Xenopus tropicalis: one gene and its partner. Each later gene encodes a partner of the first gene's protein in a complex. Links are inferred from orthologs where the notes say so. Each region holds a gene or a part of one and is shown in the gene's direction. Other genes may lie near its edges.

What was found. Proteins that work in one complex are often made in the same cells at the same time.
Region 2: map3k5 (region 1) and dcp1a share a complex: the UniProt entries of both Homo sapiens proteins name them as parts of the cytoplasmic complex. The link is inferred for Xenopus tropicalis from reciprocal best matches to the Homo sapiens genes MAP3K5 and DCP1A.

Annotation. Positions count from the first base shown.
Region 1 is NC_030681.2:59,037,056-59,041,200, reverse strand, and holds the start of map3k5 (mitogen-activated protein kinase kinase kinase 5), read left to right. Parts: upstream 1-1,337; 5' UTR 1,338-1,521; coding exon 1,522-1,972; intron 1,973-4,145. UniProt on the Homo sapiens protein: Serine/threonine kinase which acts as an essential component of the MAP kinase signal transduction pathway. Plays an important role in the cascades of cellular responses evoked by changes in the environment.
Region 2 is NC_030680.2:150,714,614-150,718,886, forward strand, and holds the start of dcp1a (mRNA-decapping enzyme 1A), read left to right. Parts: upstream 1-1,463; 5' UTR 1,464-1,521; coding exon 1,522-1,656; intron 1,657-4,273. UniProt on the Homo sapiens protein: Necessary for the degradation of mRNAs, both in normal mRNA turnover and in nonsense-mediated mRNA decay. Removes the 7-methyl guanine cap structure from mRNA molecules, yielding a 5'-phosphorylated mRNA fragment and 7m-GDP.

The DNA of each region.
Region 1 (4,145 bases):
TGTATTAAAAGGGGGAATAGATTCACGGGAGGAGGGTGTAATTCTTCCCCTTTACACAGCGCTGGTAAGGCCCCATCTAGAATATGCTGTTCAGTTCTGGTCTCCAGTGCTCAAACAGGACATGATTGAGTTAGAGAGGGTCCAGAGAAGGGCAACTAAGCTGGTAAAGGGTATGGAAAGTCTCAGTTATGAAGAAAGACTGGCCAAGTTGGGTCTGTTTACACTGGAGAAGAGGCGCTTAAGAGGTGACATGATAACTATGTATAAATATATAAGGGGATCATATAATAACCTTTCTAATGTTTTATTTACCAGTAGGCCCTTCCAACGGACACGAGGGCACCCACTCCGTTTAGAAGAAGGGAGGTTCCGTTTAAATATTCGGAAAGGATTTTTTACTGTGAGAGCTGTGAAGTTGTGGAATTCCCTCCCTGAATCAGTCGTGCTGGCTGATACATTATATAACTTTAAGAAGGGGCTGGATGGATTCTTAGCAAGTGAGGGAATACAGGGTTATGGGAGATAGCTCTTAGTACAAGTTGATCCAGGGACTGGCCATCTTGGAGTCAGGAAGGAATTTTTTCCCCCCTGCGGCAAGTTAGAAAGGCTTCAGATGGGGTTTTTTGCCTTCCTCTGGATCAACTAGAAGTTAGGCAGGTTATATATAGGCATTATGGTTGAACGTGATGGGCTTATGTCTTTTTTCAACCTAACTTACTATGTACCTGATTATTTGAGCAGCAACGTTCTACATGCTCCTCCCTAGGGTTCAGGAGTGAATGGATCGTAATTATTTTAGGCATAGTTACATTTCTAACAATGCCTAAAGTTATTTTATGCATTTACATAATTTTACATAACTGTGCTGGCAAGTAATTTGAGTGTGAAATATAACTTATTGTTAGAAACATAATGGTACCCCCATTAAAAGCCAAAAGATCAGTTCATTTTAAGCACAGGAAAAGCATACAATTGTATTTAGTGACTGCTTTATGATATAGGTTAATATCCATGTTTACATTTTGATTTTTGTTGAAGTTAAAAAAAAATAGATAATATGGTTTCATCAAGCTCAATGACTCTGTATGTTTAACAGCCAAAATACAAGGGCTTTGGGAGTGGTAGGATATAACAGACCAGAAGAATCAGCCAGAATGCTGCAGCAGGGACTAATCAAGGAGTTGGGAGTAGGTAGAATGCTGCAGAATTGAGGAATCAGGGTGCAGAAAGAAGAAATAGGCTGTAGCCCAGATCAGTCGACTACTTGTAGCTAGCAGGTAGAATGCTTCAACTCAGAGGAACCAGTGAGCAGGATGGAAGGAAGTGGTCAGAGACAAGAGAGAGGGAGGGGAAGGAGGAGGAGGAAGCAGGACAGAAAAAGTATGCTCGGAACAGCCCGGAACAATCACTTACACATGGGGGGATTAATCAGAGCTTAATTTATGGAATAATTTTTAGTAACAGAGTAGGGCTCGCTGTCATTTTGCACACAACTGTCCTAAAATGGACACCGTACACTGAATGCAAGTAATGAGTGACAGCAGCGAAGGAATCAGTTTCTCTGTACCATGCTCACGGCTGCCTGGCTCAAGCTGCTGTGCTCATGAAGACACAGGAGGGCTTACGCTACAGGAAAATGCCACCATATGCGGTGGAACCAGGATCCCTGAAGCTGGAAGCTTCTGGCGTGAAGATTACCTCCGTGCTTCAGCGGTTGGAAGTGGTAAAGATGCCCCATGCTATGGAAAGTGGGTTAACCCCCCTCCTACAGCTAGCGGAGGTATTAGCCTTCGTAGGATTACTGTGGTATATGTTATCAATGAAGTAAGTCCGGAGTTGCATGCTTGTGAGGCTGCTGCATTATACAGTTTGCAGGAGGCATGTGAGAACCATGGGGCACTGCTTGAGACCCTGGATTTCGGCAAACTGGACTTTGGCGAGACGTCAGTGCTAGACACCTTCTACAATGCAGGTAATAGAGGGTCTGACTGACATGCTAGAGTATTAGATGATGGGCACCAGATCTGGTATTTTTATTTCCACCCTTGTTCAAGGTGATAATCATATTTAGTATTGACTCCAGATCATATGTGAGGGTGTGCACACCAGGTCAGTTTCACAGTTGGAGGCCCAGCCTGACACTGGGTAACAGTCTTGGTGGGAAGAAAGGGGAAGTCCTGAGAGAAGACAAACAGAGCTACTAGTAGCAGCTACTTGTCATGGCTACTAAAACAGACAATGCTGATCATATACTGATAGCTGTCTCTAGGTGTGTTTTAGCAAAGGCAATTCTCAGTATTGTCTATGGCAGGGTTTTTTTCTGGCATTTAGTAGCCGTGACAAGTAGCTGCTACTAAGTAGCTCCGTGTGTCTTCGCCCTTAATCTTATCATGAGGCCCATGTTTACTGTTCGTATGCTCTCCCTCCTCTGTGTGCATGGGTTTCTTCCCCTACTTCAAAAACCATACAGTCAGGTTAATTGGTCTCTGATAAAACTGCCCCCTCTTTGTGATGGAAAACTTTGTAAGCTCCACTGGGGCAGTGAATGATGTATAATCTCTGTAAAATGTGACAGTGCTATATATATATATATATGTATATATGTATATATATATATATATATAATAACAAAAAAAATTTAAAATAATATTTTTTGGTATATATATATATATATATATATATATATATATATATATATATATATATACACCAAGAAATATTATTTTTAAAATGCTGGTTGATCTGGAGCAAACTGTACACTAGTTAGTTACTTTGTTGATATGTAGTATGTGCTAGCAGCCCTCATTGAAAGGCAGACACCTGGGGGCACATTCATCAATGTACTATTGTGCCTGAATACTAAAAATTTGTATTTTTCTTAAGTTTTAGAACTGTGCGTATTTTCTGCAATTTTTTTTCCTTAATTTGCGTGACTTTTTCATACTTTGCAACAATTTGTGCAACAAAATCGTATTTGTCACAACTAGTACGAAAGTTTCGGAATTCATTCAAGCTTCAGTATTGTTACTTTCCTTGGGCCAGGTTGGAGCTGCAGAGTGCCTTTGAGTCCTGTGGGAGGCTTCCAAAAACATGCACAGAAGTTTCAAAGTCAGAAAGTTTTTTGTGCCGTTTCCAATCTTTCGTATACGAAAATTTAGTAACTTTCGTATCAAACCACTATACTTTCGTACAAGCATGATGCGACTTTTTGCAAAATTAACTCACATCAGAAATTGCAAATTGTTGCAAATCGTACTCGGAATTCGTACTTTAATGAATCGTCCCCCTGGTGTTCACTGTGTTTTGACCAGCTATGCCATAAGACAAATGGGTAATTAGTAACATCCGTATCATATTATACAATGAGAGTATGAGAGTACAATAATTAGTGAGGAGCAGTGGGCAATGGTAATCTAAGAATATTATATATGAAAAGATATATGGCAGCATACAAAAGCCATTCTAGCATTTGCTAGATCAGTGCTGTCCAACTGGCGGCCCGCGGGCCGCATGCGGCCCTCGACCCCCCTCTGTGTGGCCCCCCACCTGTCTGGCTGCTTTGATGGCTTACTCTTGTGTAAGCTTTAAATGGTATCAGTACTGTGATTAACTGGCCCCCCCTGCATGGTTCTCACCTCAGATTCAGGCTGTAATCAGGCTGTATTGTTTAAATATGTAATCCCCTGTACTGTTCACACCTTTTAATCCCTGCATTGTTCACCCCCTGCAGTGTTCAAACCTCAGGCTCAGGCTGTAATCACTCCCATTGTTCTCCTGTTCACACCTCAGGAGCAGTAGAAACCCACAAATAAACCCTGCACACTACAAAAGCAACATACACTGAGGTGGTACTGCAATTAAAAAGTTTTTTAATATATAGTTATTGTGCAGACTGTTGGAGCAGTGCCAGCATTCTGTCACTGTAGGCTGCCTGTGTTTGCCATACACACAGGCAGGGTAGGGAAGGCAGAGTATGGCACACACAGGCAGGGTAGGGAAGGCAGATTATGGCACACACAGGCAGGGTAGGGAAGGCAGAGTATGGCACACACAGGCAGGGTAGGGCAGGCAGAGTATGGCACACACAGGCCAAGTATGGCACAAACCAGCCAAGAATGGCACACACAGTGAAAGTATGGCACACA
Region 2 (4,273 bases), on another chromosome or scaffold:
CAATAGTAAGAAATCCAAGTCCGGCTTGGGACTCCTCCAGTTACATGGGAGTAGGAGAAACAATAGGTTAGCTGAAAGCAGTTCTAATGTGTAGCGCTGGCTGAAAGCTCAGACTCAGGCACACTTTACTGCTGCGCTGCAAGTTGGAGTGATATCCCCCCCCCTCACCCCCAGCAGCCGATCAGCAGAACAATGGGAAGGGAGCAAGATAGCAGCTCCCAGTAGGTATCAGAATAGCACTCAATAGTAAGAAATCCAAGTCCGGCTTGGGACTCCTCCAGTTACATGGGAGTAGGAGAAACAATAGGTTAGCTGAAAGCAGTTCTAATGTGTAGCGCTGGCTGAAAGCTCAGACTCAGGAACACTTTACTGCTGCGCTGCAAGTTGGATTGATATCCCCCCCCCCCCCCTCACCCCCAGCAGCCGATCAGCAGAACAATGGGAAGGGAGCAAGATAGCAGCTCCCAGTAGGTATCAGAATAGCACTCAATAGTAAGAAATCCAAGTCCGGCTTGGGACTCCTCCAGTTACATGGGAGTAGGAGAAACAATAGGTTAGCTGAAAGCAGTTCTAATGTGTAGCGCTGGCTGAAAGCTCAGACTCAGGCACACTTTACTGCTGCGCTGCAAGTTGGAGTGATATCCCCCCCCCCCTCACCCCCAGCAGCCGATCAGCAGAACAATGGGAAGGGAGCAAGATAGCAGCTCCCAGTAGGTATCAGAATAGCACTCAATAGTAAGAAATCCAAGTCCGGCTTGGGACTCCTCCAGTTACATGGGAGTAGGAGAAACAATAGGTTAGCTGAAAGCAGTTCTAATGTGTAGCGCTGGCTGAAAGCTCAGACTCAGGCACACTTTACTGCTGCGCTGCAAGTTGGATTGATATCCCCCCCCCCCTCACCCCCAGCAGCCGATCAGCAGAACAATGGGAAGGGAGCAAGATAGCAGCTCCCAGTAGGTATCAGAATAGCACTCAATAGTAAGAAATCCAAGTCCGGCTTGGGACTCCTCCAGTTACATGGGAGTAGGAGAAACAATAGGTTAGCTGAAAGCAGTTCTAATGTGTAGCGCTGGCTGAAAGCTCAGACTCAGGCACAAGGCACTGAGATGGCGCCTACACACCAATATTACAGCTACAAATACATTTGTTGGTTGAAGAATAAAAGGTTAAATGGCAGAGGGAATTATTTGCTGTGTAACAGGGTCATTTAGAGATAAACAGCCCCATAAACATCATGGCAGGGTCCCTTGACACTAAAGTTATTACTCAACTTTAGACAAGACTCAAAGTTATGTTTCCCCTAGGCTGGTGTACAAGTTATATGTCAACAAAACCCATGGTAAAAATAAAGTTCCCCTAAACCTTCTGTTTCTTGCTCAGACCACATTTCTGGTTGCACCAATAGGGAAGCTCGGAGCGGGCGGAACGTTGCTGGTAGGAACCATTGTGCCGGGGCTGCGGAGCTGGCGGACATTTAAGGTGTGAGCCCCACTCCAGCCCGCTGCTGTTCCGCTAGGAAAGATGGCGGTTCGGGAGAAGGCTGGGCAAGAGATGAGTCTAGCGGCGCTGCGGCAGTCTGACCCCTATATCAGTAACATAGTGGATGTGACCGGGCACGTCGCTCTCTATCGCTTCAGCCCCAAAGCCAATGAGTGGGTGAGTGGCACCGGGCGGGACCATGGGAGCGGGGGGGGGGGGGAAGTGGGGGAAACCAGCTGTGTGAGGGGAGAGTTAGGTTTGGGATGGAAGGGTCTGTTATGGAGGGAGGGGCAAAGTGACGGGGTAGGTGTGTGTGAACTGTAAGTGTAACAAGCTATAGTGTTACACAGTGACAGCTACACATAACTATAAACCCAGTGAGAATGAGGAATGAATGGATATTGGGGAGTTGTATCAGGAGTCAGAACCAGCAGTGCAGGGAAGGGAAAGGGACAGACACAGTGACAGTTACACATAACTATAAACCCAGTGAGAATGAGGGATGAATGGATATTGGGGAGTTGTATCAGGAGTCAGAACCAGCAGTGCAGGGAAGGGAAAGGGACAGACACAGTGACAGTTACACATAACTATAAACCCAGTGAGAATGAGGGATGAATGGGTATTGGGGAGTTGTATCAGGAGTCAGAACCAGCAGTGCAGGGAAGGGAAAGGGACAGACACAGTGACAGTTACACATAACTATAAACCCAGTGAGAATGAGGAATGAATGGATATTGGGGAGTTGTATCAGGAGTCAGAACCAGCAGTGCAGGGAAGGGAAAGGGACAGACACAGTGACAGTTACACATAACTATAAACCCAGTGAGAATGAGGAATGAATGGGTATTGGGGAGTTGTATCAGGAGTCAGAACCAGCAGTGCAGGGAAGGGAAAGGGACAGACACAGTGACAGTTACACATAACTATAAACCCAGTGAGAATGAGGAATGAATGGATGGATATTGGGGAGTTGTATCAGGAGTCAGAACCAGCAGTGCAGAGAAGGGAAAGGGACAGACACAGTGACAGTTACACATAACTATAAACCCAGTGAGAATTAGGAATGAATGGATATTGGGGAGTTGTATCAGGAGTCAGAACCAGCAGTGCAGGGAAGGGAAAGGGACAGACACAGTGACAGTTACACATAACTATAAACCCAGTGAGAATGAGGGATGAATGGATATTGGGGAGTTGTATCAGGAGTCAGAACCAGCAGTGCAGGGAAGGGAAAGGGACAGACACAGTGACAGTTACACATAACTATAAACCCAGTGAGAATGAGGGATGAATGGGTATTGGGGAGTTGTATCAGGAGTCAGAACCAGCAGTGCAGGGAAGGGAAAGGGACAGACACAGTGACAGTTACACATAACTATAAACCCAGTGAGAATGAGGGATGAATGGATATTGGGGAGTTGTATCAGGAGTCAGAACCAGCAGTGCAGGGAAGGGAAAGGGACAGACACAGTGACAGTTACACATAACTATAAACCCAGTGAGAATGAGGAATGAATGGGTATTGGGGAGTTGTATCAGGAGTCAGAACCAGCAGTGCAGGGAAGGGAAAGGGACAGACACAGTGACAGTTACACATAACTATAAACCCAGTGAGAATGAGGAATGAATGGATGGATATTGGGGAGTTGTATCAGGAGTCAGAACCAGCAGTGCAGAGAAGGGAAAGGGACAGACACAGTGACAGTTACACATAACTATAAACCCAGTGAGAATGAGGGATGAATGGATATTGGGGAGTTGTATCAGGAGTCAGAACCAGCAGTGCAGGGAAGGGAAAGGGACAGACACAGTGACAGTTACACATAACTATAAACCCAGTGAGAATGAGGAATGAATGGATATTGGGGAGTTGTATCAGGAGTCAGAACCAGCAGTGCAGGGAAGGGAAAGGGACAGACACAGTGACAGTTACACATAACTATAAACCCAGTGAGAATGAGGGATGAATGGATATTGGGGAGTTGTATCAGGAGTCAGAACCAGCAGTGCAGGGAAGGGAAAGGGACAGACACAGTGACAGTTACACATAACTATAAACCCAGTGAGAATGAGGAATGAATGGATATTGGGGAGTTGTATCAGGAGTCAGAACCAGCAGTGCAGAGAAGGGAAAGGGACAGACACAGTGACAGTTACACATAACTATAAACCCAGTGAGAATGAGGAATGAATGGATATTGGGGAGTTGTATCAGGAGTCAGAACCAGCAGTGCAGGGAAAGGGACAGACACAGTGACAGTTACACATAACTATAAACCCAGTGAGAATGAGGAATGAATGGATATTGGGGAGTTGTATCAGGAGTCAGAACCAGCAGTGCAGGGAAGGGAAAGGGACAGACACAGTGACAGTTACACATAACTATAAACCCAGTGAGAATGAGGGATGAATGGATATTGGGGAGTTGTATCAGGAGTCAGAACCAGCAGTGCAGGGAAGGGAAAGGGACAGACACAGTGACAGTTACACATAACTATAAACCCAGTGAGAATGAGGGATGAATGGGTATTGGGGAGTTGTATCAGGAGTCAGAACCAGCAGTGCAGGGAAGGGAAAGGGACAGACACAGTGACCGTTACACATAACTATAAACCCAGTGAGAATGAGGGATGAATGGATATTGGGGAGTTGTATCAGGAGTCAGAACCAGCAGTGCAGGGAAGGGAAAGGGACAGACACAGTGACAGTTACACATAACTATAAACCCAGTGAGAATGAGGGATGAATGGATATTGGGGAGTTGTATCAGGAGTCAGAACCAGCAGTGCAG